2 linked regions of the Arabidopsis thaliana genome follow. The protein of the gene in region 1 interacts with the protein of each later gene in a pairwise test. Each region holds a gene or a part of one and is shown in the gene's direction. Other genes may lie near its edges. The genes, in order: CHI and AAP5.

What was found.
Region 2: the proteins of CHI (region 1) and AAP5 interact in a two-hybrid assay, tested with the Arabidopsis thaliana proteins (one large-scale study listed by BioGRID).

What each region holds. Positions count from the first base shown.
Region 1 is NC_003071.7:18,074,145-18,088,966, reverse strand, and holds CHI (chitinase), read left to right. Parts: upstream 1-11,449; 5' UTR 11,450-11,531; coding exon 11,532-11,946; intron 11,947-12,159; coding exon 12,160-12,578; 3' UTR 12,579-12,801; downstream 12,802-14,822. Other genes in the region: AT2G43610 (Chitinase family protein), read left to right, coding at 1-233, 515-909; AT2G43600 (Chitinase family protein), read left to right, coding at 1,886-2,375, 2,524-2,918; AT2G43590 (Chitinase family protein), read left to right, coding at 6,218-6,608, 6,972-7,375; AT2G43580 (Chitinase family protein), read left to right, coding at 8,954-9,347, 9,747-10,150; AT2G43560 (FKBP-like peptidyl-prolyl cis-trans isomerase family protein), read left to right, coding at 13,582-13,618, 13,886-14,142, 14,236-14,319, 14,389-14,438, 14,566-14,614, 14,681-14,755.
Region 2 is NC_003070.9:16,763,755-16,780,343, reverse strand, and holds AAP5 (amino acid permease 5), read left to right. Parts: upstream 1-12,658; 5' UTR 12,659-13,120; coding exon 13,121-13,208; intron 13,209-13,624; coding exon 13,625-13,858; intron 13,859-13,905; exon of another isoform or gene 13,906-14,085; intron 14,086-14,159; coding exon 14,160-14,253; intron 14,254-14,494; coding exon 14,495-14,867; intron 14,868-15,039; coding exon 15,040-15,693; 3' UTR 15,694-15,952; downstream 15,953-16,589. Other genes in the region: CYCA1;1 (Cyclin A1;1), read left to right, coding at 3,162-3,350, 3,584-3,869, 3,951-4,093, 4,177-4,269, 4,355-4,641, 4,741-4,924, 5,008-5,142, 5,244-5,309. UniProt on the Arabidopsis thaliana protein: Amino acid-proton symporter. Stereospecific transporter with a broad specificity for glutamate and both neutral and basic amino acids. Reduced affinities for asparagine and valine.

The sequences.
Region 1 (14,822 bases):
TCCAAGCGGTAGTGGCGGTCTAAATGCTGGTCCTCGTGGTACCATAGCAAGCGTTATCACACCAGCGTTCTTCAACAGCATCATGAGTAAAGTCGGAAGCGGTTGCCCAGCGAAAGGGTTTTACACTCGCCAGGCTTTCATCGCAGCCGCTGAATCGTTCGCAGCCTACAAAGGAACTGTTGCTAAGCGTGAGATTGCCGCCATGTTGGCTCAGTTCTCTCACGAATCTGGAAGTAAGTTCACCGTTTACTACATTCTATTATTCTTTTTATGTATCAGAAAATGTCTAAAAAGGAATTATTAAAGTATTATCATGTTTAAAAATTTATATAAATATCTGATTTATCAGTTTGCATTAAAAACTTTATTTTGATAATTGAAGAAAAATATAGAGACAGGAATATTTTCCTCATAAGAAATAAGGATTTGCTAGCTATATATATTACCAAAATGTGTTCCAAGAATGTGTCTAAAACAAGTTTAAAATAAAGTTTATCTGTTTGGTTATGTAAAGGTTTTTGTTACAAAGAAGAAATAGCCAGAGGAAGGTACTGCTCACCAAGCACAACATATCCTTGTCAACCCGGAAAGAACTACTATGGTCGCGGTCCGATCCAAATCACATGGAACTACAACTATGGTGCAGCCGGAAAGTTCCTTGGACTTCCTCTCTTGAAGGACCCAGATATGGTGGCTCGTAGCCCAACTGTGGCTTTCCAGTGTGCCATGTGGTTTTGGAACAAGAATGTGCGTCCGGTTTTGAGCCAAGGGTTTGGTGCAACCACGAGGAGGATCAACGGTGGTGAATGTAATGGTGGGCGTCCAGCTGCAGTGCAGAGCAGGGTTAACCATTACTTGGACTTCTGCAAGAAGCTTGGGGTCACTCCTGGAACCAATCTCTCATGTTGAAGACACTACTAGTTTATGAGGGTTTTTCATTAATGTCGTCTGGTTAAGAATTTCGTATCGAATAATAAAGTGAAGTCGAAAATACTAGAACTTATAAAATTTGTAAGAGATTAGAAGTTATATTGTGTGGTTGATGTCTCTTAAGGTAACTATATTGTGTGTTGTTTGTATCCGCTCGCTAGCATAAGTAATAAAGATGGAAGTATTATCCAATCAATATATTGGTTTCCCTGTGTTTCACACTAGACTAGTATACATGCATATAAGTAACGAAAATTACTTTTCTTCTATCATCACATCTTTTCTTCTATCATCAGTTCATCACATCTTTTCTTATTAAGTTTTAAAGAAAAGAAATTAGAGTACTAGCGGAACCAAACGAGGCTTGTGATTGATGATAACAACCAAAACAAATAAAAAAGAAGAGGAATAATGTTATAGATCACATATGATCCGATCATTTCTAACCGTCATGAAATTCATCGTAGATATGACAACATAATTATTAAGGATGTGCTAGTCTTTGGGTAACATTTTATGCTATTGTTAGATTCTGTAAAAATAAACTAGTGTTTTTGTTTTGGGATTGGCTTAAACTGGAGGCCATACTGGTTACTTGGTGATCTGAATCTAATTTCCTAAGAACCACCTTCGATTTTGTTTTTTTAATGATTCTTTAATTATTCCACATGTTTATATAATTTGCTCCTTTTTAAGTGCATCTGAAAGTCATAGGGATGGAACATTGATAACAAAGCAACAGATTGTCACGTGAAAGATTAATTCTAGTTTCAGCTTCTCAAAGTCCAGGGTTAATAGTTGACTTGCGAATTTATAGTGTTCAAATATATAGTAGCTAGATCTTGTGGATATTAATATATGTAGTCTTCCTTAAATTTCTAGCAAAAGCTTAAGTATTTAAAATATCAAGAATATATTAAATCAATTACAAATCGACTGATTTTGAACTACAAATATGTCCACAAGCCCCTCATGTTCACAAAATCCCCATTTCCTAACACTCATTTGCTATAACAAAATGACCATCAAAAACGTCATTTTTTCCCTCTTCATTCTAGCAATTTTGGCCGAGACCGTGTTCTCGCAGAACTGCATGGATACTAGTTGCCCTGGCCTTAAGGAATGTTGCAGCAGATGGGGTTTCTGTGGCACCAAAGATGAATACTGCGGATTTTTTTGTTTCAGTGGCCCTTGCAATATCAAGGGAAAATCATACGGATACGACTACAACGTTGATGCCGGTCCACGTGGTAAAATAGAAACCGTTATCACATCAGCGTTGTTCGATAGCATCATGAGCAAAGTCGAAAGCAACTGCTCGGCAAAAGGATTCTACACTTATGAGGCTTTCATTACTGCTTTCAAATCTTTTGGAGCTTACAAAGGAAAGGTGGCTAAACGTGAGATCGCTGCTATATTGGCTCATTTCTCATACGGATCTAAAAGTAAGTTCATTATATTATTAAAAACCAAAAATAAAAAATTTGCATTGGCGTTTTTACCTTTAATGCGTAAGATATTTGAAAATCATGGATGCATGCAATTTTGGTTTTTTGGAAGCTTAAAGATAATACATTTTATTTTTACGTAAAGGTTTTTGTTACAAAGAAGAAATATCGAACGAGAGATATTGTTCAAAGAGCAAGAAGTACCCTTGTGAACCGGGGAAAAACTACTATGGTCGTGGTTTGCTACAATCAATCACATGGAACGAGTATTACGGTGCCGGCAAGCACCTCGGGCTACCTCTACTGAAGGATCCAGATCTGGTGTCTCGTAGTCCAGAAGTTGCTTTCAAATTCGCAATGTGGTTCTGGAATAGAAACGTGCGTCCCGCTTTGTACTTAGGATTTGGAGAAATCACAAAGAGAGTTGATGGCCGTGAATGTGGTAACTGGCGTCGCGATGATACGAAGAACAAAGTTAAGCAATACATAGAGTTCTGCGAGATGCTTGGAGTAACTCCTGATCAAGGTCTCGATTGTTAAAGTCATTAGTGTGATGGAAATACTTTTAAATTAATAATAACTAATTTGATTGACCTATGGAACATATATATATTTGGTTTAAACTTTTCAAGATTTTATTTTGATAGTTACTTTTCAAATATCGGAACTCCAAACCAACGGCAAAAATCCATTTGGAAAACGGAATTAGTTTCCAGTACTAAATAGAAATATCGATCATATGCATGTAGCATTACGAGGGCTGGTTTGGCTTGATCTTTATGACATCATTTATTGGTATGTTTTCTCTGGTTGTATAGCTGATGCTTTCCTTTTATTTTCAATGAATTTTCGGACCAAATTAAAAAGTGAAATAGGGTAATAGGTTTGAGGATGATCGATTTACAAACTCACTAAGTTTGGCGATCGAAACACAAAAACCATAAAATTTGGAACTCTTTAAAGACGTAAACAAGATGAAAACTTTTATTCCATAGTCACAAAGTTTAAAATTGAATTTCAAATCGTTTGGACGTTTCGATTTAACATAAGCCATTTAATTTATTATTCATCCTTCCATTTCTATGTACTAGTCAATGTTGCTTATATTTTGTTTGCTAACAGATTAAGAAAAAAACAAAAGACAAAAACTCAAGAAGATATTTATTTTTTAGCCTTGGTAGATGGAAAGTCATTAGTTAGCATTAGGAATATGCAATAATGTTAGGCCATGGCTTTTGAATAATTGACAATACATGTTAAATAGTAGTACACCGCAGCCTCTAAGTGGAAAAAAAAAATTGTATAAATTAATTAATTCATTTCTACCATATAAAAAGGTTCCTTCCAAGTGGTCTACGAATACCCGAAGATATTGGACTTTTTTAGTTACCAGTACAGCTGAGGTGACCATCCTAGAAGGAAAATAAATGAAGAGATTATAGACTATCTTCAGTAATGTATGTGGATTTGTTGACGAAAAACAAAATTATACAATATATAGACTCGAATAATCAGGCAGTGTGCATGAATGTCTATATGAAACTTAAGATCATTTTATAATAAGATACACCTACGAAAAACTCTACTTTAAGATGAAACAATGAGTCCCAAATAAATTTGAAAGAATGAGTTAGTACCCAGCGAATCTGTCCTTTTATTTAATTGAGCTAATATTACTGTTAAGGGAATATGAATTGTCTTCATCTCGTAAAGTTTTTATTACTATTAAACAATATACATACGAATTTGAATTTTGATACTTATATGATGACGATGCTAACAAAACAGAAAACAATGGTTAGCGTATCTACATAATTCAACAGTAACAGCTGGTTATATGTGAAATAAGCATAAAACAAAGCCTGAATTTCTTTGATAGTGAGCACGAGTCATTATTATCCAGCGAGTACGTTGATTAATTTGAGATTTTATAGTAAGAACTTTTCTTAAGAAGTATAATTCATAAGAACTAATTGGAAGTGCAATTCTAGCGTTAGAATGTGTGGATTTAGAATTGCACTTCCAATTAGTTCTTATGATCAATTGTTTTTCTTTGACAATAACTTCATTTTAATGAGTAAATACAGTTTCTTTGACAATAAATCGAAAAACAAAACACAGTCATCTTATTTATCTACTTCTCGTTTCTTTTTATTCCTAATGCTAACTCGCAACGAATTCGTGGTGATTCAGTACTTGATAGACTTAGCATGAAGTTAAGAACTAAGGTTTGAGTAATTTCATTGCGATTGAAATCATTATAATTGATCATTATGATTATCTCTTAAACTTTAAAAATTTCCACGCGGCGACTCGAGTTTTAAAAAATCATTGAAAAGAATGAGTTGGTTGTTGAATCATACGATTCCTGAAAGTCCGGACCAGTGAGGCAGTGACCGAGCCGGAACGCACAACGTCCGGTGCAGTTGTCACTTCCACCAGAAAAGGCGAAACCAAGAGCTTTGAATTGAATAGTCAAAAATAATTGCTTCTACTCTTCATTCTTCAACGTATGCAACGTAACTTGTATGATTGTGCATTTATCATTTTTTATCGGCAAATTTTAGCCTTACACAAAAGACATAATAAAGTATCATGGCCTTTTTTGTTGACATTGTCCTTCTCTTGTCAACAATCTTCCTGGTTTTAAGATACATATGGATGGTTCAGAATGTCATATAGTATAATCTATTACTCTACACTTTGATTGATGACATTCTTATTCCGATTTTTATCCAAGTCTTTTATTAGATGAAAATCAACTGTTATTTTATAAAAAAAATAAATAGTGGATTTAAAGTGATTTGAGTGACATACATTAGGTGAAATTTGAAGGAATTTCTTAGTTAAAAAATCAAAGATGCAAATCTTATAGTTTTAGGTGAGATTTTAGAGAATGTTAATAGCAATTTCCTAAAGTTCACTAAAACCATCTCAAAACTCATCAAAACTAAAATCACTCTCAATTCATCCTTCAATACAGCCCCTAAAACTGAGAATCATTTTTTGTCAACTAAAACTGAAATTCATACATTTGATGGAATTTGAGTAGCCGCCGGGTAATGGACCCAACCAAAGGCTCACATAGTCACATGGTACCAAGATTTATAGTGATATTATGCGACATCTCTCTACCACATAGTCACATGGCACCAAGATTTATAGTGACAATATGCGACTTCTCTACTTAGGGCCGGCTTTCAGAAACTCTAGAAGAACTAGCCACTGATCGACTATATTAGAGTAGTTAATTTTATCAATTACATTTGAAATGTTTATCTCTAGTAAGATAAATATCAAACAAACAAAACTTAATCCAAGGACTTGTCTTCATATCGTCTATTAAGAGTCGAATTTAAGAAATGAAAAATAAACGATTCAAGCTTAAGTTAGTTTTAGGAAAAAGACATACTGTTTGCTCCATATAGTTTGTACATGTATTAAATATAGAATAACAAAATATTTTAATGTTTGCTCCATTGACATTACATGTATTAAACAGTTTAATAGAAAAACGAACATTTTTGTTTGTTCAATCATTGGGAAATCATAGAATTGTTCAAAATATGAAACAAAAGTGAGAAATATCAATTAATATAATAGTTCTGTTTAACAAGAAAATTGAATTTAGACCAAGTCCACAATATTCATCTTGAGTAAGAACACGACCAAAAGTCAAACTCGTTTCGAAATACATAAATATGTACCCCGCTATACAAAAAAGAAAAAGACATTTACATCCACTTATCCCAATAGACAAATGACCAAACTACCCAACATCTACCCCTATATATACCTCACCACCTTTGCCCTCTCAACCACAAACAATAACACAAAACATGGCTTTCACAAAAATCTCCTTAGTCCTTCTTCTCTGCCTCTTAGGTTTCTTTTCTGAAACTGTCAAGTCTCAAAACTGCGGTTGCGCTCCAAACCTCTGTTGCAGTCAGTTCGGTTACTGTGGTACCGACGATGCATACTGCGGTGTTGGATGCCGATCAGGTCCTTGTAGAGGTAGTGGAACCCCGACCGGAGGGTCGGTCGGTAGCATTGTGACACAAGGTTTCTTTAACAATATTATCAACCAAGCTGGTAATGGTTGCGCGGGGAAAAGATTCTACACCCGTGACTCTTTCGTTAACGCCGCTAATACTTTCCCCAACTTTGCCAATTCTGTTACCAGACGTGAAATTGCTACCATGTTTGCTCATTTCACTCACGAGACCGGACGTAAGATTTATGTCTTTCTTCTCTTCTATCTTTATATACTCAAAAATAAATTAATATTTTGTGTCTGTGTATACATCTACTTTAGTCATGACTCATTCGAAGTTTATAACTTTAGTAAACTAAACGAATGATTGGAGGATTTGATATTTTAAAACGTTTTGCATTATTTCAAAACAAATGAGGATTATATTATATTATTATAACACGTTAAGTATTTTAAGGAAAACAATTGGTTATAAGACCATATAAGATTAAACCTTTGATATTGTAGTAAGAAATGACATTTGACTTGATCTCAAGTAACTAAGATGATCCTAATCCTAAATAACTCTTCTGTTTCATGTGCATCTCCATACGTATTAGATTTCTGCTACATAGAAGAGATTAACGGAGCAACACGTAACTACTGCCAGAGCAGCAACACACAATACCCATGTGCACCGGGAAAAGGCTACTTCGGTCGTGGTCCGATCCAACTATCATGGAACTACAACTACGGAGCGTGTGGTCAAAGTCTCGGTCTTGACCTTCTACGCCAGCCCGAACTTGTGGGTAGCAACCCAACTGTAGCTTTCAGGACGGGTTTGTGGTTTTGGATGAATAGCGTAAGGCCGGTTCTGAACCAAGGGTTTGGAGCCACCATTAGAGCTATTAATGGAATGGAATGTAACGGTGGTAATTCCGGTGCAGTCAACGCAAGGATTGGATACTATAGAGACTATTGTGGACAGCTTGGTGTGGACCCTGGTCCTAACCTTAGTTGCTAAAAAACCTTTGAACCCAAACACGGACATATGTGACGTGGCATGTAATAAGTGAGATATACTAAAATTTCACACGTATGTACTTTATGTCGGGTCTCGGTGTTCCCTGCGTCACAAGCAAAAAATTGTTGTAATAAACTTGTGAAAGTGATTTTCTTTTCTTATGTGACTTCTTATGAAAGAGAATTTTAAGATTGATAGATGTTTGAGTTTGACACTTGCAGTATCTGATTTTGGGATACTCGCATAAATTGATATTATAATATTTTATAATCTTGTATTTATCACGCCAAAAACAAAAAGTTTTATAAAAAAAAACATAATGATAAACGTGTCATCACCACATTGGTAGTTTAATGGTTTTTAGATTGTTTTTGGTCAACATATGGATTCATTAGAGACGTATGCAGGATGCAGCCTAGCGTAATCAATGAGTCTGGTTTATGTTTGTGAACTTTTCAGAAAGAAAAAAAAAACTGATTTTATTAAAGAAAATAAGTACAAATGTTAGGAAATTTCGCAACGGTGATTTTTGTAGAAAATATGTTGTACACTTATTACGTTCACAATCCCCTCATATAATAATAAATGTTACCGTTTGGATTCTATCCGGTTAAATATAGAGGATCTATTATAGGATGTATAACTTTTTCTTTTTTTCTTTTTTAGGATGTATGACTTACTTATATATACAAGTCATATAGGATGTATGACTTGTATATATAAAACAACATCTATGTTATAAGTTCAAAGCATTTCATTTCGTATTTCAGATGATTTCAGTCCGCTATACGTATCTATACTCGATCTATTCATTGCAAATATTTTGAAGTTCAATGTTGAAAAGTCAAAACCATGGCAAACCATCGTACAGAGATTTATCATGAAAATATGTGTTGGCTTCTTTTAAGAGTCGGCTTTTAGAAAATGCTCGAGAGAAGAGGGGCAATTGATTGGGGACTCGGTTTGTATTATTGTAATTAATCAAGGAACACTCCAATATTTTTTTGGATCGTTTAGTAATAAGTAGTCAAATTCAATAATTTTTTCAGGTTCGATGTTCCAAGCCGTCGACAATTTTCTAACATCGCACTTCAAAAATTACCACATTTATATTTTTTGGTTAACATAATATTATTATTTGTGAAGGGCGGCTTTTCTTAGTTTCATTAACATACCGACTTTAAAAAAACAAAAAAACAAACCGACAGTTATCTATAAAAAAATAAAATATATCCTACAACTTTTTTATTCATTAGTTCCAAATTCAAAAAAAATGTGTAACCATGTAAATTAAAAGATCCTAATTCAACCAATTATTTTTCCAACTACAGTACAATTCCAATCTACCAGGTTTTTTTTTTGTTTTTAAAAGAAAATTCATTTTTTTTTTTTTTTTTTTTGTCGGCCAATTCAATTGCCCATACATCTTCGGCATAACAATCAAAACCATTGTTAAATAAATGAAAGAAATTAAATCACAATTGATTGCCAGTCCCACGGAAATGACCAATATACCCAATATCTTTCATCATATAAACCTCAAACTCTTCCCTCTCCTCAAACAACAAGAACCCAAAGATGGCTCTCACAAAAATCTTCTTAATCCTTCTCCTATCCCTCTTAGGTTTATATTCTGAAACCGTCAAATCTCAAAACTGCGATTGCGCCCCTAACCTATGTTGCAGTCAGTTCGGTTATTGCGGTACCACTGCAGATTACTGTGGTTCTACGTGCCAATCAGGTCCTTGTAGAGTCGGTGGACCCCCTACCGGTGCCGGTTTGGTTGGTAATATCGTGACACAAATTTTCTTTAACAACATTATCAACCAAGCCGGTAATGGATGCGCGGGAAAAAGTTTTTACACCCGGGACTCTTTCATTAACGCCACCAATACTTTCCCCAGCTTTGCTAATACCGTTACTAGACGTGAAATTGCTACCATGTTTGCTCATTTCACTTACGAGACAGGACGTAAGAATCTTTTTTCTCGGTTTTTGACCTTTTTATACACTAACCATATCCTAGCCTTCTAGGGTACATTACTAGATTGTGACATAAAAATTGAGTATGCGAATTTAAAAAATTTAGAGTAACAATTGTTTATTTACGTTTTAATCTACAGTAGCGTTTGAGTGTTTTAAATAATTACTAAAATACTATAACATACATACGTTTGAAACAATCATTATCTAGAACGAAAAAAGAATCATATTTAAGACGTAAGAGATTAAATTTTAAAACCTTGGATGTTATCTCATTTACTCTGTTTTTGTCCTACAATAATTATAAACTGAACATTGATTTTCTAGCATTTGTTCGTTTGTTCGTAAATTAACTAGTGTGTTTCAATATGCATCTTTGTACGTGTAGACTTCTGCTACATAGAAGAGATAAACGGGGCGTCACGTGTCATGTGCGACCAGAACAACAGGCAATATCCATGTGCACCGGCCAAGAGCTACCATGGCCGTGGTCCGCTCCTACTATCATGGAACTTCAACTATGGAGCATGCGGCCAGAGTCTCGGCTTAGACCTCCTACGCCAGCCCGAGCTGGTGAGTAGTAACCCAGTCGTGGCTTTCAGGACGGCTCTGTGGTTTTGGATGAAGAGCGTGAGGCCTGTATTGAACCAGGGATTTGGAGCCACCATAAGAGCCATCAGCGGTTTCGACTGTGACGGTAGGAACTTAGGTGGGGTGAACGCAAGGATTGGCTACTATAGAGACTATTGTGGGCAGCTTGGTTTGGACCCTGGCGCCAACATAACTTGCTAAAACGCTCTTGGGACATACATGGCACGAAAGTATTAAAGGTGAAATAAGAAGTGTTGTTGTAATTGTAGTACTTTTTTTTTTTTTTTTTTTGATAAAAAGCTAGAGTAATCTTGTGAAGTGAAATCACATTATTAAAAGATTAATAAATCGACTTATACAAATAAAATGCTTGATTCTTGATATTTATACCGCACCCAAAGAACAACAGAACATAACTTTGTTGCATAAGTTTTTGACTCCTATATGTAAAACTTCATTCCTTTCTTATCTAGTATTGTTGGTTTCTTATCTCAATTGAGCGATCGGATTAGAATTGGTCTGACAACTAGTTTATTATGTGAAACTTTTAAAATGAAGAGTTTTGTTGTGAATCAGAGGGTTTGAAAGAATTTGATTTCAGTTTAAAAGTAAACCGAATTTGTTCAAGTCGTTGTAGGCCTATGTTTTGTCTGTTTCTATACATGATTGATCAGTCTCTTGAAAGTATGATATATAGATGATAGAGCTTGTTTTCTCTATGATATACATGTTCCTGCAATATATCTTGTTAGATTACTAACTGGACTAAGTCTGGCACGTAAGACAACGATCTTCCACAAGTAATTCTAGTTTACAAGTCATTCTAATAATTTTAATTAATTTCAAAATGGTTGGAATAAAATTACCTAGTTTTACTATTTAAGAGAAGACCAACATCAAAGATTATTCTTATCTAATATTCAAATTATGGATATTAATGCATTCATATACGACTCGGGATTAGTATTTCTTACAAGACTTGTTCAATAAAATTTCTTGCCAACAATTATGACTTTTCCTGTTGTTTACAATTTTTCACAAGTCTATTGTCGATTTTAAATTTGTGTTATCACACACAACATGAGACTAGTAAAACCAATTGACATTGACTACAGGCTTCTACCGATTAAACTTATCTTGTATAACAAACTCAAACCATATTTTAATTTTTGTTTTCCAATTGGCGACTACTTTCAGTAAAAGTCACTTAGTTTCTTGCTTTTTAGAACCACAAAAACCAAATATACTTTTTTCACCTATCTCATTTTATCTCTGATAATTTTTCTTTACACTAAATGTTTGCATCACAGGAACAAAAAAATATTTGGTTTAACCAATTTCGTAGATTGAAACGAAAATGTTGGTGTTTGTTTGAAAATTTCCCAACGTGTTACGTGTAACGTTTCGAATGGTCTAAGAACTAATAAGCATGCGTGGCATTGGCGTTGACGTTGACTCAGAAAACTACAAGTATATTTTATTTACAACAAAACGTATGCTTCACGGATCCATCATCATCTATAAAACACGAAGCTAATGTTCATCATCTCTCTCTGCAGTCTGCATCACAGACACAAAAACAATGGCTAAACCCACATCACGAAATGACCGATTTGCCCTTTTCTTCATAACCCTAATTTTCCTGATCCTAACCGTTTCCAAACCGGTCGCCTCTCAAAACTGTGGCTGCGCCTCTGACTTCTGTTGCAGCAAATATGGCTACTGTGGTACGACCGATGAGTTCTGCGGCGAGGGCTGCCAGGCAGGACCTTGCCGGAGCAGTGGAGGCGGTGGAGATCCTGCTGTTTCACTAGAAGGAACGGTGACACCTGACTTCTTTAACTCTATACTAAACCAAAGAGGTGATTGTCCTGGCAAAGGATTCTACACTCACGACACCTTCATGGCCGCAGCTAATTCTTACCCTAGCTTCGGTGCTTCCATCTCCAAACGCGAAATCGCGGCGTTTTTCGCTCACGTAGCCCAAGAAACAGGGTGTAAGTAAATTTTCTCATATAATTTTGAATGAATAAAGATACTTATAACATAAATTTTATTCTAGTTACGACTATATTGGTTCAATTTGACTAAATTAAATTTCAGCATAAGATAATAAAATCAGTAATTGTTGTATACAAATTTTGGTTAATCGTATATGTCCACCACTATAGGTTTCGTTTTTGTGACCATATGGTTATACCTTGTTGCAGTCATGTGTTACATTGAGGAAATTGATGGACCAGCCAAGGCCGCATCCGGAGAGTACTGCGACACAGAGAAACCAGAGTTCCCATGTGCACAAGGAAAGGGCTACTATGGCCGTGGTGCAATCCAGCTCTCTTGGAACTACAACTACGGTCTCTGTGGCAAAGCCTTGGACGAGAACTTATTGGCTTCACCAGAGAAAGTTGCTCAAGACCAGGTTCTTGCCTTCAAGACCGCTTTCTGGTTCTGGACCACTAATGTTCGCACGAGTTTTAAATCGGGCTTTGGCGCAACAATCAGGGCAGTGAATAGTAGGGAGTGTAGCGGAGGAGATTCTACAGCCAAAGCCGCCAACAGGATTAAGTATTTCCAAGACTATTGTGGCAAGCTTGGAGTTGCACCTGGAGATAACCTCACTTGTTAAAGTTTCCTTGCTATCCATCCGAAACACAACTAGTGTTTGAAAAACTTAGAGATCACATAAGAGAAAGTATCATATTAGTATAATAATGTTGTAATACTTCACATTTTACCAAAAATAATAATAATAATGTTGTAATAGCTAGTGTCAATAAACGATTTCTTATGCATAGGCACGGCGGATTTTACAACAAAGGGCCGATGTGTAAAAAGAAAACACCCAATAGTGCTTCCCAAGACCGTAATACCCGAGATATCCTATATAAACCAAGATAAGAAATCCTCTAAGTACAGTCTGATGAAAACTATGGAAGAACACTTAGAAAATACTTGAAAGAGTATAGAGAATTAAAGAATTTATGAAAAACACTATTTTATTTGAACTTTCTTTTTGATTCATTTGTTCAACCTTTTTACAAAGGATGGGGGTGATGAGGTTTTTGTACCCTCCAAAGTTAGCTTACAAAGGCTTCTAGACTTTACCCTACAAACTCCTAGATTATTCTACATAATTATCTATCTAGTAGAATTTTCTACAACACTTAGAGGAGATGATGATTTTTTTTTAATAATGTTTCTAGAGAAATCTTATAAAACTTAGCGCAAAATCAAGTTTACCGTCGATACGCGCTGGTCATAATGTAAGCTTTAAAAGCCAACGCCAATCACCAATAGTCCAATGCACATTTGGACCGCCGGAGGAAGAATGTGAAATGACGACGTTTTAACGAGAGGTGAAGTAGACCCCACACGAGAAACTACTTGTCGTTTCAATCAAACAGAAGTAAACAATTACAGATATTTACTTGCCGTTTCAACTTCCGGATGGTCCACTCCTTAACGTTCATATTTCCTTAACGAAATTAAAAAACAAATGAAAAATTTAAGAAACTACGAGAGCCAAGTCAGCAAGAAGCGAACGCACAAACAAAACAAAACCAGAGATTTCGTTATCCACTGAAGTTCGTTTGCTTCTGTCAAATTTGCCAAATCGTAACCAAAAAAAGATGGCAGCTTCTTCTCCATCTCTCCTTCTACCACTAGGTAAGAACCTAAGCTACTGATTCTGTTTTCTGATTTCTTCTCAAAGATTAGATTTCTCGTCTTGGAATTCAGGGTTTCTCTGCTGAATCTACTTTCTCAGAGATAAAAATCTCATCTTTGTTGATTCTCTTAATCCTTACGGTTCAGATTAAACCGGCTTCATTCATGTCTTGCATAGTTGCAATTAGAATTGTAGAATTCATTACTCTCATGTTCAATTAGCTATTGTTTGGTTTTGTGAATCTGACATTGTGGTTATGAATTTAGGTTCAGCATCTAGAAATGGTCTAACCACCAAGAATCCAAATTCATCAAGATATATAGCTGCAAGAGTCATAGCTTCAGAAACAAGAGAGCAAAGCTGTAAAATCAGTAATCTCTCTAGCCGTAGAGAAGCAATGCTTTTGGTACTCGGCGTCTCAGGAGGATTATCAATGAGCTCACTTGCGGCGTATGCAGCTGGTTTACCTCCAGAAGATAAACCAAGACTCTGTGAAGCAGAATGCGAGAAAGAGCTTGAAAATGTATGGTGAGATCACACACACACCTTTTGGCTTTCTATAGAACCTTTTTGATTCATGACATTGATGAGGATTTTCTCTTGTTTTTGGTTAAAGGTTCCAATGGTAACTACAGAGTCAGGGCTTCAGTATAAGGATATTAAAGTTGGTAGAGGCCCGAGTCCACCGGTTGGTTTTCAGGTAAGGACTGAATCAAACCTTTGTATGATTTAAGGAAACTGTATCAAGATAGATGTAAAAATGTTGTAGGTTGCTGCTAATTATGTGGCTATGGTTCCATCAGGGCAAATATTCGACAGGTGATCTTTCTCAATCCATACAAAAACAGAACAACTTGATAGTCTTTACTGATTGATTTTTGATCCTGGAATCATATTAGCTGAATGAATCTACTACTATCAAATGGTCATGTTCACTCAATTGCAGTTCTCTGGAGAAAGGTCTACCGTATCTATTTCGCGTTGGCTCTGGCCAGGTAATTGTGGATATCAAAAAAGGATTTAGCTTTAGCCACAAAAGTAGTTTCTGATACTTTAAACAGGTGATCAAAGGACTTGATGAAGGAATCTTGAGTATGAAAGCTGGTGGCAAACGTAGACTCTACATCCCAGGGCCTGTAAGTGCTTATCAAGATTATACATAAGTAATCGTTTTTTGTAACAGAGATTCTAACTTTCTCTGCA
Region 2 (16,589 bases), on another chromosome or scaffold:
TTATTGTCATTTGGTGATTAAGAGATTTTTTTCCTGCCACAATCAAATGCACAATTCATTTACAAAATTACCTTTTATGCAAACGTTCTATTACTCCTTTTTACCTCATGGACACACAAAAAAACACCGTTCCTAGCTCAAATGTTGGAATTTGTAAATGTGTAAAAGATGATTGGTTCTGAATCAATAATTTGGATCCAAGTTTCTCAATGAATTCAGAAGAAAAAAAAAGACGAAATGAAAAATGAATTTTCCTACTTCTCTCTTTTGCCGTTGCTAACAAACAAAGAAAAAGGTAAAAGAATTTGTTTATTTTCTCTTTAAAGGTTCGACAGAGAAGAGGTGAAATCACAAAATCCAAAACTATAACTATTTTACGCAATCTTTTCTCATTCTTTCACATTTTCGTTTACTATTTATTTTTGACAATAGTTATCGCACACCTAATTTAGTAAGAACTAATATGACTAGGTGACGTACGGACAGATTATTTTGACATTGACGTAATTCTGTTTTTACTATTTCGATTTCTAGAAAATGTGTGGAGTTATAATTTTGTTTAAAATTAATTTGTCTTCGGGTTAACTGAATTGGATGGACCAAATCTCTCTTGGCCTTAAGTTGGTATTAAAAGCCCTTTAGAAAACAAAAGGAACTTTATATTTAATTGGGAGTTCCAAAAGAAATATACAAATAGTGTTATTCATCTTTATTTTTTTGTTTCTACAAAAAATGATAAGATTTGTAAAACTTCATCTAAAAGATGGTGAACGGTATAAGAGCATCTCCAACTATAACACCATTTTGGTGTTGAAATAACAATCTACGAGAGATGTTAAGATTTGTAAAACTTCATCTAGAAGATGGTGAAAGGTATAAGAGCATCTCCAACTATAACATCATTTTGGTGTTGAAATAACAATATGTGTAATGTAAATTTAGCACTAAAGCTTTATTCTTCTTCAACCACAACACAAAATATCACACTAAAAATACTATTCTCACTATTATATTGTTAAATTGAACATTTTCTTAGTTAATATTTTAAAATTATCAATTAATGTAAAATTATAATCCAAAAATTTACATACTAAAAATAAATTACATCATACTAATTCTAACGACAACAAATGTTCAATTAACATTTCAAAATTCAATATGAGCTTCTCGATCTTAATTTGTCTATGTCGAGCTAAAAAACTGTTTTAATGGTTGATTGAAATTTGTTATGTATCTTCAATTAAAATTTTTATATTAATTTTAATATTTTCTACAAATTAAGATTTCATATAATTAAAATTTTAAATACAAAAATAGTTTTGATACATTATGTTTACTTCAAAACTTAATTAGATTGTTAAATAACAATACAAATCATATTTTATATACTATATATAACTAAATATACTATTTTAATAAAATTAAAATAAATAATAATATTAATTCAATTTTTGTTATTGTTATAGTAGCACACAAATATAGTGATTTATTATAAATAAAAAAAGAATCATACTATAATAGTGCAAAATATACACTTTGGTTGGAGACAGAAAGTTAATATTACCACCTCCAAATAACGTTTTGCCGTTCCATTGTACATCTTAAGACCATGTCCAATGTGACGGCAAAACGTTATCTTGACATGGGGATGTTTACTTTTTGTCTCCAACCAAACGCTATACTTTGCACTATTATGGTGTGATTCCATTTTCTTGTACAGTAAATCACTATATTTGGTGTATTACTGTAGCGACATCAAACATTTAAGTATCAATTTTTATTTTATTTTAATATGATTGTATATTAAAATAGCTGATACATAATAAAAATTCAACTTAACATTCAAAACATAAAATTACAAAACTAAAGAAAGGTTTTAAATTTAAACATCTTTGGAATTTGATGAATGATATGTGAGTATTAGTATTCTTGTAGTATTTTAATTTGTGTAATATTATGTGTGAATGCAATTGTATTGTCATTGTGTTACTTTTTTGTAATTAATTTTGTTTAACATACTATTTTGTTGTGTAATATTTATTTTTAATACTGTGTAATATTTTAAAATTTTAGTTAATAGTATAATAATAGAAAATATTAGCTTTAGTGTGATATTTAGTTTTATGGTTGGAGAAGAAAAATATTTTAGTGTGAAAACTACACCAAATATAGTGTTATTTCAATACTAAAATGGTGTTATGGTTGGAGATGCCCTAAAGATAAACATGACGAGACACGAGATTTATTAATTTCTTGATCAACCATAACTTAATAACTTAATATTAATTTCACTTAATAATTTCCAATTAAGTGAATCTTTACTTCACCAAAAGTTCCTAACGAACTCTTATTTTCTAGCATCAATATTACCATGAACTAGCATCAATACTATCATGAAAAATTCCTACTTCCTATCCAACTCTTAATAACAATGCTAGTCTTAACAATATTCATCAAAAACTTGATATAGACCTTCTAACTTAGCCACGACTAGTATCGGTGAATACCAAAATTAATGTATTCATGAGAACTTGAGATTTCTCTAATGTATTCTTGTTACTAAACAAGTAACAACACTCAAGAAATATCATGATCAAATATTTTACTCATAAACTCCATATTTCACATTTTGAAAATTTTAAACAGCAAATCACATTGAATTTTCGTGGTAAAAGTATTTAAAATTGAAAAATAGCAGCTCCTGATTTCAATGTATAAATTTATCTTTATATGGTTTATGTCTCCAACTTATTTTAAAAAAGAGAGAAAGAGCACCCAAAAGGTGACCGTTTGAAATTCGAATTTATTTCCGTTTGAAATTCGAATTCAAAAAAAGTAAACCGAACCGAGTCTCGTTACTGACTGTCACACATTGTTTCCCTAAAAGCTAATTAACCCATACGTGGCGTAATATAACAGGTCAGTGATCAATACTAAATAACAGACATACACCTTTAAAATTCGTGCACGCTCCAAAACAAAATCTACACTTCAAAATCAACGGTCACGATCATTCCTCAAATTTCAAAAAATTATTTAACCTCACTTCCTTCGCTTTGTTTTTAAAACCTCTCTCTCTTTCTCTTTCTCTTTCGCCATTAAAACTCTGTTTCCTTTTTCAGAGATTCTCAGAGAAGATTCATTTTACCCTAAGAAAAAAAATGTCGAACATTCTTCAGAATCGGCGATCTTCGTTTTCCTCTTCGACGAAATCTTCATTAGCGAAGCGTCAAGCACCATCTTCATCGGAGAATTCTGTTAAACTTATGCCGGCGATGACGAAGAAACGAGCACCGTTAAGTAACATTACCAATCAAAAAATCGCCTCACGATTACAAAATTCTGATTCGGTGAGGTTCTTCAATTTCGCTATGAATTTTTCAAAATCTTTCGTTTCTGTGATCTATTTAGTTTGATTTGAAGATTCGCTTACTCTAATTCACTATAGATCCATTGTTTCTTCGCTTCATTTTTTGTTGTGGATTTGGTTTTTGTGATCAATTTTGAATATGGATTCATTGTTTCTTTGATTGAATCTATGAGATTGCTTATTGATTTTGAGTTTGATTTTGGTTTTGTATAGGTACATTGTTCAAACAAGTCAGCGAAATTGAAGATAGCACCAAGTGTTTGCGTTAATGCCAGTTTCTCTAGCAATCTGCAACAAAGCATAGTTCCTCACAAAGTTGCTTCTTCACCTAGCAAATCTGATGATGGCTCAGTATCAATGGACGAGACTAGGTCTTCAAGTGATTCCTACAAGAGTCCTCAAGTTGAGTATATCGAAAACGACGACGTTTCGGCTGTTGTTTCGATTGAGAGGAAAGCTTTGAGTAATCTGTTCATAACGCCGAATTCAGAAACAATTGGTACTACTTCTTACTAATGGTTCTCTATGACTTTGTTGTTTATATTGTTTTGGTATTGAATTGATTTGCTTGGTATTGCAGATAATTATTGTAGTAGAGATGTGTTATCTGATATGAAGAAAATGGATAAGAATCAGATTGTTAACATTGATAGTAACAATGGTGATCCTCAGCTTTGTGCTACGTTTGCTTGTGACATTTATAAGCATCTTCGTGCTTCTGAGGTGATAACTCTTAACCAGAATGTGATATTTTTAGCTTTATGTGTTTGCAAGTTTTCTGAATCTGTGTATCATCTATATGCTAGGCTAAGAAGCGACCTGATGTTGATTACATGGAGAGAGTTCAGAAAGATGTGAATTCGAGTATGCGTGGAATCTTAGTTGATTGGCTTATTGAGGTGAATGATAGTTATATTGAGAAAATGTGATGGCTTTTGTCACTCTTGTCGATGTTTTATTAAGGGTTTTTTCGGTTTCTTGTAGGTGTCTGAAGAGTATAGGCTTGTACCGGAGACGTTGTATTTGACTGTGAACTATATAGATAGGTATTTATCTGGGAATGTGATTAGTAGACAGAAACTTCAGTTGCTTGGTGTGGCTTGTATGATGATAGCAGCGAAATATGAAGAGATATGTGCTCCACAAGTTGAGGAGTTTTGTTACATTACTGATAATACATATCTCAAAGATGAAGTTCTTGATATGGAATCTGATGTTCTGAATTACTTGAAGTTTGAAATGACTGCACCAACTACGAAATGTTTTCTAAGGTTAGTGAGATGATTGCTTTACAAAACAGATCCTTCTCTTATCTCATACAATTCTGTACTAATTACTAACCAGTTGGATCGTACAACTTGAATTTTCAGACGCTTTGTTCGAGCTGCTCATGGTGTTCATGAAGCTCCATTGATGCAGCTAGAATGTATGGCTAACTACATTGCGGAATTATCGCTACTAGAGTACACTATGCTCTCTCATTCTCCTTCACTAGTAGCTGCTTCCGCCATTTTCTTGGCTAAGTACATTCTAGACCCAACAAGACGACCATGGGTATGTTTAAACAACCTTAAGACACTGTTTTACTCTTTATAAGAATCATGTAGTAAAATGTGTTTGTTGTTTGGTTGGATCAGAACTCGACGTTGCAACACTATACGCAATATAAAGCGATGGAGTTGAGAGGATGTGTGAAGGATCTTCAACGATTGTGTAGTACTGCTCACGGCTCTACACTACCTGCTGTTAGAGAGAAGTATAGTCAACACAAAGTAAGTTGTTGTGTTTATTTATTTGTGATAACAATTAAGAATGATGATTAAGTTGTTTTATGTGCTAATAACGATTGGATTTTTGTGTTTTTTTTTTGCAGTACAAGTTTGTGGCGAAGAAGTTTTGTCCATCCGTAATCCCACAAGAGTTCTTCAACAACAGCTAAAAATCCTTTAATTTAACTTTGTTCCAATGTTGTGTTGGATTTAATTGTTTGATTGTACATGATTTTGCTGTTGTTGGTCTATTTATAAAATTAGCTATCTACGATCTCACTTTGAAAACTTGTTAAGCTGATTTATTTTGGCTTCCTCTAGAAAGTGACGTAATTAGGTGATATGATTTGATTGGTAAAAGTGGGAAAAGTTATTATCAATCTGCTTAAATATGCAAACAAACGTGTTATGCAGATTTCATGGCTATTATTGATCAAGTGATAAATGAATTTGATAAATTACTGAATTCAATGTTCAATTTAAACATTCTTGAATTGCAATATTCTTGATTTCCGTAAGACATCAAATGTTTTAGGACAAATGATTTTTGTAATATTACAGAGCGACAAGAAACAGAACCTATTAATAAAATTGATTAACCCCGTTAATTTTGTTGTAACCTATATAAAATATGTATGTCTTTGAGAACGAACAATTAAATGCTTCAGCTTAGTCGGTAATGGAATGAATGAATGATACATCTGAGAGGTTCCGAGTTAATTTTTTTGTCCGTTGACTTAACGACGTGTCCAAAATGGTAAAGTCACAAAAATTATCTATTTAATTATAAAGTCAACAACAACTTTGGTATTTAAGTGATATTTCAAAATTTTATATGTTTTTTTTCCAAATTTGAAAGTTTGTGCTTTTTCGATATTTTTTCCAAACAATATTTCTCAGTTTTGGCTCTTTTGAGTTTTAATTAAAATCAAATGACAAAATTTTTTTTGTAGAAAACTATCTGACGGTGATCTATTTTTGAATTCGAGTTTTTCGATGTAACAATTTTTTTTGGGAGATCAATAAAACCTAACTTAAACTAAATTTGGTTGTAGACCAATTAATCTTGTGGACGTAATGGATTTGGAACTTATCCTAATAATTGGTTTAGAACTTCCCTATCTTTAACTATGAATCCTAATCACAATACAATTTGTTCGAGAATAAATTTAGGTTAGGAGTTCACAACGTTCACTTCAAATGTGCTTCGACGACTTCAGTTGCTTGTTAGTTGGTCCCCAATAGTTTTTGGTCTCCGTCTTTCTGATTGATCTCGTTCAATAAAAACTATATCTACGCATAATTTTACCATGATCTTAATAAAAAAAAAAAATTACTATGACATATTTTAATGTTTATATATGGTTTTAATATCTAAACTTTTTCTTTTTGTCAAGGGGTTTCAATATCTAAACATAAACATATATTTAGTTGTTTTATTTTTGAGCACATATGTCGATCGACACCTCTTTCTCTTTCTCCATGTTTTTGATGGACATCTTCAATATCTTCTCTGCGTAGAATCTTAGTGAACAACTATAATTGTACATCGTTAGAGATTTTCTGCACACTTGCCTCCATTAATCTACAAATCTACTAATAAATTGCAGTAGCTAGAATTTAAACTCCAAACCTCTTAATGTAAAAGCTTAAATGAACCATTGGTCAACCATTAGACAAATGGAACTTCCGCAAATAAATATAATATTTTAAGATAGAATAATAAACATGCATCGAAAACCTTTTAAAACAAGTATAGAAAGTTAAATTATACCAATATCTAAATCGTAATCTTAATTATTGTTTTAAATTTGTATTACCGACATGCAAACGCTTGACAATAACTACTTTCATAGTAATACAATAGTTTAGTGTGTAAAGAGACGAGCATATCTTTTCAAAACTAGTGGATACAGGGAAGCTGCATACGAATATGAATCATGTTTATAAAGAGTTGTTTATATTGAAGAATGTTTTGGCTGGTCCTCGATCGATTAGAATATTTCTTACTGATATAGAAAGATGGCCATCAATGTATATCTATGTTTTTTTTATCATCATGGACTAACAATTTAGGTGTAAAATAATAAAACCAATAGTTATATAGTTCTGAAAACTATTGAACTTATATAAATTCGGGTGCATGCATGGTAATACGGTAATGCTATAAATTAAATCCACAGTATAGTTTAAATTATGGTTCAGTTTACCTTAATACAAAAATATGATTACAAAGATTATAACAATTGAAAAATATTAGGATACATAGGAAAAGTATAATTTAGATCCAATATATTGAGTTTTGTTTTGTAATTATTTTATTCTTTACGGGAAGTATTTGGAATTTGATGCTTCTTGCCTACTGATAATAACGTACCTAACTCTTCTACTCTAATATTGTTCACAAACATCCAACTCGAGTATCTTAAGATAACCAATCAATGCTAAAGCAAAAAACGGTCCAACTTACTAAACTATATATAGAAATTGGGCAGTCTACAATTTTCTCTGTAATAATCAGAATATTGAAAAAGAAAATAAATCATCTACTTGTAAAGTTTCATTCCTATGAATATATCTCTTTTTTTTCATCTGCATGATTCCATTATATTATACGTAGGTAGAATAGGATTTTGAAATACAAGATCGACAAGAGTCGAAAGTCTTTGAGAAACTAAGCCGGTGGAAAACATAACTATTCCCGGAAAACTAAACCCAAAAAAGAGGAGCATAACCTCTGAATATATCTATAAATCCTAAATTCTATCAAGTTTCCTGTTTGTCTATACAAAAAAAAATATTATTATTGCACTTAGAACAATAAGAAAGAAAAAAAAATGGTACAAAATCTATATGAAGTGGCTCAAAGACATATTAATTATTGCGTTCTCTCTTATTTTTCTCGTTTATATCTCTTCGTAAAATATTTATTGTATAGTGAGAATCATTTTTTTTCCCTCACTATACTAATAAATTTTTATAGTTGTAAATTTTTAGACAAACACAAAATAATCGAAAAATGGATATGTAATCTCAGTGACAACTTGCCATATCGTGTATAAAACATAAATTTGTAATTTTTTTTAACAAAAAAAAAACATAAATTTGTATTTTTATTATGTGTACTATTATAACATATTATTCTGCTTAGCCAAAATAGAATAAAATACTACTCTTTTCGGTTTAACAATTGTCGTTACCCTCAAATCAATATTTTTCTTCAGTATATAATTTTGTCTACAAAATTTCGAAATACTTTGTTAGATCTGCAACTAGCTAGCCATGTATGTCTACAAGAATAAATCCTTAAACCTACATGCAGTGGCAACTTGACCACTGGGATGTAGAAAGGGTGCTTTGTTCCAGTTTCTGTTTTTATAAGTTGAAAAACGAATAAAAATGTATGACTTAGATTCTGAAAAATGTATTACTAAGAATGTTTACGCATTGTTTTGGTATGAAGCTTTTTGGCCATTATTATTATTTTATTTTTATCTTTTTGACATGCTTTTTGGTCATTTATTTAAGAACTATCGAATTCTTTTGGGATATTATTATTATTATCGAACTTTGACTTGTATTCAATGGTGGAAACTGAAAAGGTCAACAGTTTTGAACTCGATGGTAAGTGAGAGTAAGTCGATCGATATTCAAAGTCACTTTACTGACCAACTTTCGATGGTCGTACGCAATTCACCATCTTTCCAAACATCACCAATCAATTTAAATAATGTTGCGGCTTTTTCCTCAATAAAGAGTTCTATTGTTGGACACTGCATTCACACAGTATTATCTCACATTCCCATCAATTTATAATGAAAGTTCAAATTAATAGTCTTTTTTTTTCAATTTTCTCTTAAAGGCTTCTCCTTTTTTTTATACTATCATTTTATGATTTTCAAGACATATTGTATTATTTAAACTCTTAAATGGGTAAAATTTGAATGACCTATAAGTATATAACATAATGATTTGTGAAGCTGTAGTATACTGTCGTATTAAAGTTCGTATAATATATATTGTATCATTGTTGACAAAAGAAAATGTGTTAAGTGTTAAGAATCAAGAGCTTTTATTTAGACCAATATTTTTGTTTCTTGTAAATGATTTAATACACAGGAAAATTGGACATATTTGTAATGATTTCCCCCTTTTCAGTTATTTTCTATTTGTAGATTTTGTTAAATTATATATGTAAAAATAAAATTAGCAATGTTCAAGAAAGCGCTATGCGCTAAACGGACGGTAATCCTCCATCTAGTGCCTAGAAATGCTTAGTCGGAGTCTAGGCGATTTAAGGCAGTTTTAGAATATTTGTATAATTATATGAGATGCTGAAAAAACATTATGAAAATTTATAACATTTTTACATTTTTTAGAATGAATTGAAATTTAACATTTGAAAGTAGAATATAAAAATTATAGGTGTCTTTAGACCCAATTTTAAATATATATATTTTTAACATTAGGACACATTTAAATCCGCCTAACCCGCACAAACCCACCTAATAATGTCTAATTTGTTTAGTGACCGCATAGTCCGCCAAATCTACCTCACCGCCTAATAACGCCTAGATGCTCATCTAGCCCATGTTCTAGAACACCGAAAATTAACTTTAAGTAAATTAAAAGTTTAAATATACATACACAATAAATTAAGGTGTCTTTACATGGTTGGTGTTCAATTTAATAGGTAAGTACATCCATATATCAAACCAAAACATAAACCACAAACCCTATATTCTTACAGTTAAAAATTAAGCTCTAAATCTTAACTTACAATCCATTACCTTGAAGGAGAAGATGACAATATCTCAACCGGAATCCAGGATTCAACTGTGATACTTATCACCTTTGAGGAGAAGAGGAGAATATCTCCCAAAGCTAAAACCATGGTGAACTTACCACACCTTACCGCATCTCGTTCCATCATTCAACTCAAATCTAGTTTTTATTCGAGCACACGACTAGATGGTTATTCTCGGTTAGGTCAATCTTATTGGTCGGTATAATCTGAAAATATTGGCAAAACTGATCTAGTAGCTTAATATCGAAGCTTAAAATGTAAGGTATTTCCAACGATTATTACAACTTAGAAACAATCGCAAAATTATGATTTAATTTTATTTTATCTCATTTTTTTTATGCTATCTAAATAGAACCGAACTAATATCGATCCAACAAAAAAAATCGAATTAAACCCGAAAGAGACAAAATATCTGAAGAAATCCCAAACTCCTATATCTGAAGAACCAGAATCGAACCGAACACCTACTTGGTCATGTAATGTACAAAATATAAATTATATACTCAACATATTAATAAATTTCTTAGTTATCCAAAATTACAACTATAATCCAAAATTATTAATTATTTTTAGACCAACATAACCAAAATATTCAGAAATTCTTAGTACATTTGTCAAAAATTAATCGAACTAATACTATTTAAAACCGAACCGAATACCCAAATGCGTGGACCAAATATAGGCAACTCAGCTTTAACTCCAGACACAAAATCTGGTGTCAAACACGAGATATAATTGCACATTGAATACAGCTATATCAAAGCATGAATTTTAAAAAATATATTAAGAAAAACAGATACTTTGATTTATTTTTCATCTATATATATTTTTTTTTGTCAACTTTTTCTATCAATATACTTTTCAGATGAATTATTGGTTTTCCAACAACATCGTTCTGAAAAATCAAAATGTTTTCCAACTCAAATAATAGATTAGATGTTCCAATGATTATATTAAATTTCCTATTTTTTGGTAATTCATATATGCAGAAAACTTCGGAAAACCATTGCACAGCAATAAGCATTTAAAAAAAGTGAAACCCATTCTATCAATGTTATGTTGAAAAACTTCATCTAATTGAGGTGTATTTTGCATGTTCATACAAAAACTCCAAAAATAAAATTGAAAATAATCGAGAATATTTAACATTGTTATGTAACTTCAATTTGTGAGAATTTATCAACGAAAATAGAGTATATATAATATGACCAAACTCATAACAGGCAAACACCACTTTACATAGTTTCCACTTTCATTTCCTCAAACCAACCGAAAGTTTTTAGAAACATAGTAGATATAGACAAAGAAGTCCATGGTAAACGTTAATTATTTAAATAACTATTAAATAATAAATTAATAAAATATTTACTTTATCAATTTGTTTGTAATTATGGTTGAAAACTTGCCCATCAAAATTTTAAATATATTTTCTTTTTCAAAATAATATCTAATTGCCTATGATAAATGATTCTAAAATAGTAAAGTATACCACCAAATCGTTCATTTATACTCTTTAGAAATGATATAACGACAGTGTATTTTCCAACCGAATGGTCGGTGTTTCCAGTGTATTTGAAAGAATTTAAGAGCGAGAAAGAAAAATTTATTAGCATCTCTTTATTTTTAATTCCTCGGAATTGGTTCGTTTGAGTTTAATTAATTCCGGTTGACAAAAAAAAAACAAATGATATAAGGAATTTGAAAAGTTAAATCCTCCGTCAACTTTCTCTTGACATCAAAAGTACATATAACATAATAATCAATAATAATGAAAAAACAACTATATCTCTAATTATAATTACTTTAATTTACTCAAATACTCATTAAATTAAGGACATGAATCATTGTTTTTAAATTTTAAAATTAAAATATCTATATTTTAAAGGTAAAAATCTTAAAATTTGGTTTGATGTTTAGCTTTTATGGAATTTTTAAGAATTGAGATTAATCCTAGCAATTCTAGCAATGTTATGTTGAAAAACTTCATCTAATCGAGGTGTATTTTGCATGTTCATACAAAAACTCCACAAATAAAATGGAAAATAATCGAGAATATTTAACATTGTTTTGTAACTTCAATTTGTGAGAACCTATCAACCAAAAAAGAGTATATAATGTGACCAAACTCATAACATGCAAACACCACTATACATAGTTTCCACTTTCATTTCCTCAAAACCAACCGAAAGTTTTTAGAAATATACTAGATATAGACGAAAGAAGTCCATGGTAAACGTTAATTATTTAAATAACAAATTAATAAAATATATACTTTATCAATTTGTTTATAATTATGGTTGAACACATGCCCATGTTAAATATATTTTGTTTTTTTTGAGTAATGCCTATGATAAATGATTCTAAAATATTAATATAAGTATACCACCAAATCGTTCATTTACAAATGATATAACGAATTTCAAAAGTTAAATCTTCCTTCAACTTTCTCTTGACATCAAAAGTACATATAACATAATAATCAATAATAATAAAAACTACTATATCTCTAATTATATATTTTCTTAAATTACTTTGATTTACTCAAATACTCTTAAATTATAAGGACATGAATCATTGTTTCTAAAATTTAAAATTAAAATATCTATATTTTAAAGGTAAAAATCTTAAAATTTAGTTTGATTGTTTAGCTTATATGTAATTTATAAGATTTGACATTTTGCACTTGTTGTCACTAATGTATAACAATGAAACCATTTTCTCATAAAAAGATAAACTATTTTTGTAGTCCTCACAAAAAAAAAAAAAAAAGCACATGCGGTTTCCTCTGCTTCTTCCTTCTTACAAGTTGGATGTCTCCGTCTTCCACGGTGCTTATAAATTAGTGAAACAACAAAAGCTTTGGTCAGTATTTATATTATCATGCATTTCTAATCTCTACTTTGTCAATTCCTATACTTTCACTCTCTTCCAATTATATAATCTCTGGTCCATAGAAAACATCGGTCTCTTGTCACCGTTGATTTTATTTGGTCAAAATCATTCTTCTTCTCGCTGAATAATCGTTGATTTCACTTCTTCTTCTGGTCTTAAAAAAATTCAAGATCTATACGAGAAAACACAAAACAAGTAAAACTTTTTCAACCGTTTTTCCTGTCGGTAAAGTTTGGATTCTTCTTAGTAAATTTTGGTCTTATTGTCGACCAAAAGAAGAAGATGGTCGTTCAGAATGTTCAAGATTTGGATGTTCTTCCGAAACATAGCTCGGATTCATTCGATGATGATGGTCGTCCCAAGCGAACCGGTAATTTCTCTTTTTTTCTCTAATTTTATGTTTTATGTTTCTCTAATCTGTTCAAACAAGAATCAAAGTAAATATAAAATTAGTCTCTGTTTCCTATAACCGGGGATTTGAACCCGAAACCCGGAATTTTTTTAATTCCGGGTTTCGGGATACAAACCGAAACCCGGAGTCTGTTGAACTTGCAATTTAAAACATCTACAGTAAATATATGCATAGGCTTTGTTTGTTAAGGGGTGACAAATTCCTACTTCTTTTTTTGTGTGGATGTTATGGAAAAGTATGATTTTTGTTACTAAAGTGTATGAACACTATTGTTACTACAGTTGTTGTCTTAAAATTAACGGTTAAACAAAACAGACTTTATTGTTACTACAGTTCTTGTCTTAAAATTCTGTTTGAATGTGATTGGTGTTTAGGGACGGTGTGGACAGCAAGTGCACACATAATAACAGCAGTAATTGGGTCAGGAGTGTTGTCATTGGCATGGGCCGTTGCTCAGATTGGTTGGATTGGTGGTCCAGTGGCTATGTTACTCTTTTCTTTCGTTACTTTTTACACATCTACCCTTCTCTGTTCTTGTTACCGATCTGGTGACTCTGTTACCGGCAAAAGAAACTACACTTACATGGACGCTATTCACTCCAACCTCGGTAAACAAAAAAAAAATCATTTCGGTTTCTTTTTGGTGCATATATTGGGATATTGAACCGAAGATCGACGGTTGAGATGACAAGGCCAAGATATAACAAAAAGATATTATTCTAGAAGATAAATGTTAATATTGAAGTTTAGAAAGTTTAACATTTATCTTTTAGAATAATATTTTCTTGCCGTATCTTGGCCTTGTCATTTCAACCGTTGATCTCTGTCGATCTCTGGTTCTCCATATCGGTTCCATATCCCAATAGTTATTATCATCAAAAACTTAATTCATTCTTGATTCATTTTTAGGTGGGATTAAGGTGAAAGTATGTGGAGTTGTGCAATATGTTAATCTATTTGGTACAGCAATTGGATATACAATTGCATCAGCTATAAGTTTGGTGTAAGTTAAAACTTTGCTTTCACAAAACTCTTTTTATTTTAATTGTTCACATTTGTCCAAAAAAAGTTAGATGCGTGTTTTATTTTGCTATTCAATATTGTCCATACAAGTCATTAATGTTTGGCTCAATAATGCAGTGTTTTAGTCAATGTAGTCTTGTTTTGTGCCATTAAAGATTCGAAAGAACGGCTCTATTATTGTTTGACTTGTTAACTAATTTTCTTGAATAAAAAATTTACAGAGCAATCCAAAGGACAAGTTGCCAACAGATGAATGGACCAAATGATCCTTGTCATGTTAATGGAAATGTTTACATGATTGCGTTTGGTATTGTACAAATCATATTCTCTCAGATTCCTGATTTTGATCAGTTATGGTGGCTTTCCATTGTCGCTGCGGTCATGTCTTTTGCTTATTCTGCCATTGGACTTGGCCTTGGTGTCTCTAAAGTGGTAGAGAACAAAGAAATTAAAGGTAGTCTCACTGGAGTCACTGTTGGGACAGTGACACTGAGTGGGACAGTGACATCGTCGCAGAAAATATGGAGAACATTTCAGTCTCTTGGCAACATTGCGTTTGCGTACTCTTACTCGATGATTCTCATCGAAATTCAGGTATTTTTGTTACGCGAGTTTTTTTTTTTTTGAAAATAATGTTAAGTTAGATTCAAAAGAAAAATAACGTTGTTACAACTAGTGCATCGTTTGGTTTATTTGTTAAGCGAGTTTGTGTGATAAGAGTTTGTTTAAAGGATGTTTTAATCAACTAGACGATTTGATGATCCAGGACACGGTGAAATCACCGCCTGCCGAAGTAAACACGATGAGAAAAGCGACTTTTGTAAGTGTGGCAGTGACTACAGTCTTCTACATGCTATGTGGCTGTGTAGGGTATGCAGCATTTGGGGATAACGCACCCGGAAATCTCCTCGCTCATGGAGGGTTTAGAAACCCATATTGGTTGCTTGACATTGCTAATCTCGCTATAGTGATCCATCTAGTCGGTGCTTACCAAGTCTATTGCCAACCCCTCTTTGCCTTCGTCGAGAAGGAAGCCTCTAGGAGGTTTCCAGAGAGCGAATTCGTCACAAAAGAGATCAAGATCCAACTCTTCCCGGGGAAGCCCTTTAACTTGAATCTCTTCAGGCTCGTATGGAGGACGTTCTTCGTGATGACAACAACGTTGATCTCAATGTTAATGCCTTTCTTTAACGATGTAGTCGGTCTCTTGGGGGCCATTGGTTTTTGGCCTTTAACGGTTTATTTCCCAGTGGAAATGTACATTGCACAGAAGAATGTTCCGAGATGGGGCACAAAGTGGGTTTGTCTACAAGTCTTGAGTGTGACATGTCTTTTTGTGTCCGTAGCCGCGGCCGCGGGATCTGTTATTGGCATTGTTAGTGATCTCAAGGTCTACAAACCTTTCCAGTCTGAATTCTGAGATCATACGGGAAAAATAAACTCCTGCTAAAAGGGTTAAGATTAGAATTGAATGTTTTAATGTCATATTTGTATTAGTTAACTTTGTGTAAGTGTTCAATTATAAATCATGTTTCTACCGAGAATTCTTACAACATTGAACTATCAATGATTAAAAGTAGTCATGTATAAGGATAGCTTTTTCGACACTTGAGGTAGTAGAGATGTATTAAACATTTAATACTTATAATTAATTTTAGAAGTCTATAAACCAAAGGAGCTACAAGATGTTTTGTGTTTATCTCCAAAATTCTTCAAATTCTTAAATCGTTTATCTTCTTGTAAACACTCTCCAAAACTAAAGATCCCCTAGATAAAATTGAGCTAACAATGCCTAATGAAGCCATACAAATAAGATAATCAATGTTTACCTTGACAAAACAATAATTAAAATTTAACAAAAGCAAATCGAGAATAATGATATGACACTGAAAATATTCTGATCTTTCTTTTACAAAGCAATCGATGAATTCTCAGTTAGTTACACAATAAATAACATTAGTTACATTCAAAAGCTATACAATCAAATGAGTGAAAGTACTTAAGAATAATATCACATGCTTGGTGTCTTTTTGATACCTCAACTCTTTTGTTTTATATATACTCAAGAACTTTAATAATATAAAAAATAACTCAACCAATGATGATATAGTTTTAATTTCCTAAACTACAAGTGCAAAGCAATCAAAGTAGTATTAGGGTCGATCGGTAAAGAATTTAGAGTAACGCACACCAATGTCACATTTTGTTTTTACAAGACAAACATGTCTTTTTAGTTTGAAATACCTAAGCTAACTAGATCATACACATTGTCTTCAACAGAATGAACTATGTGATATAACTCCATTTCAAAAATTC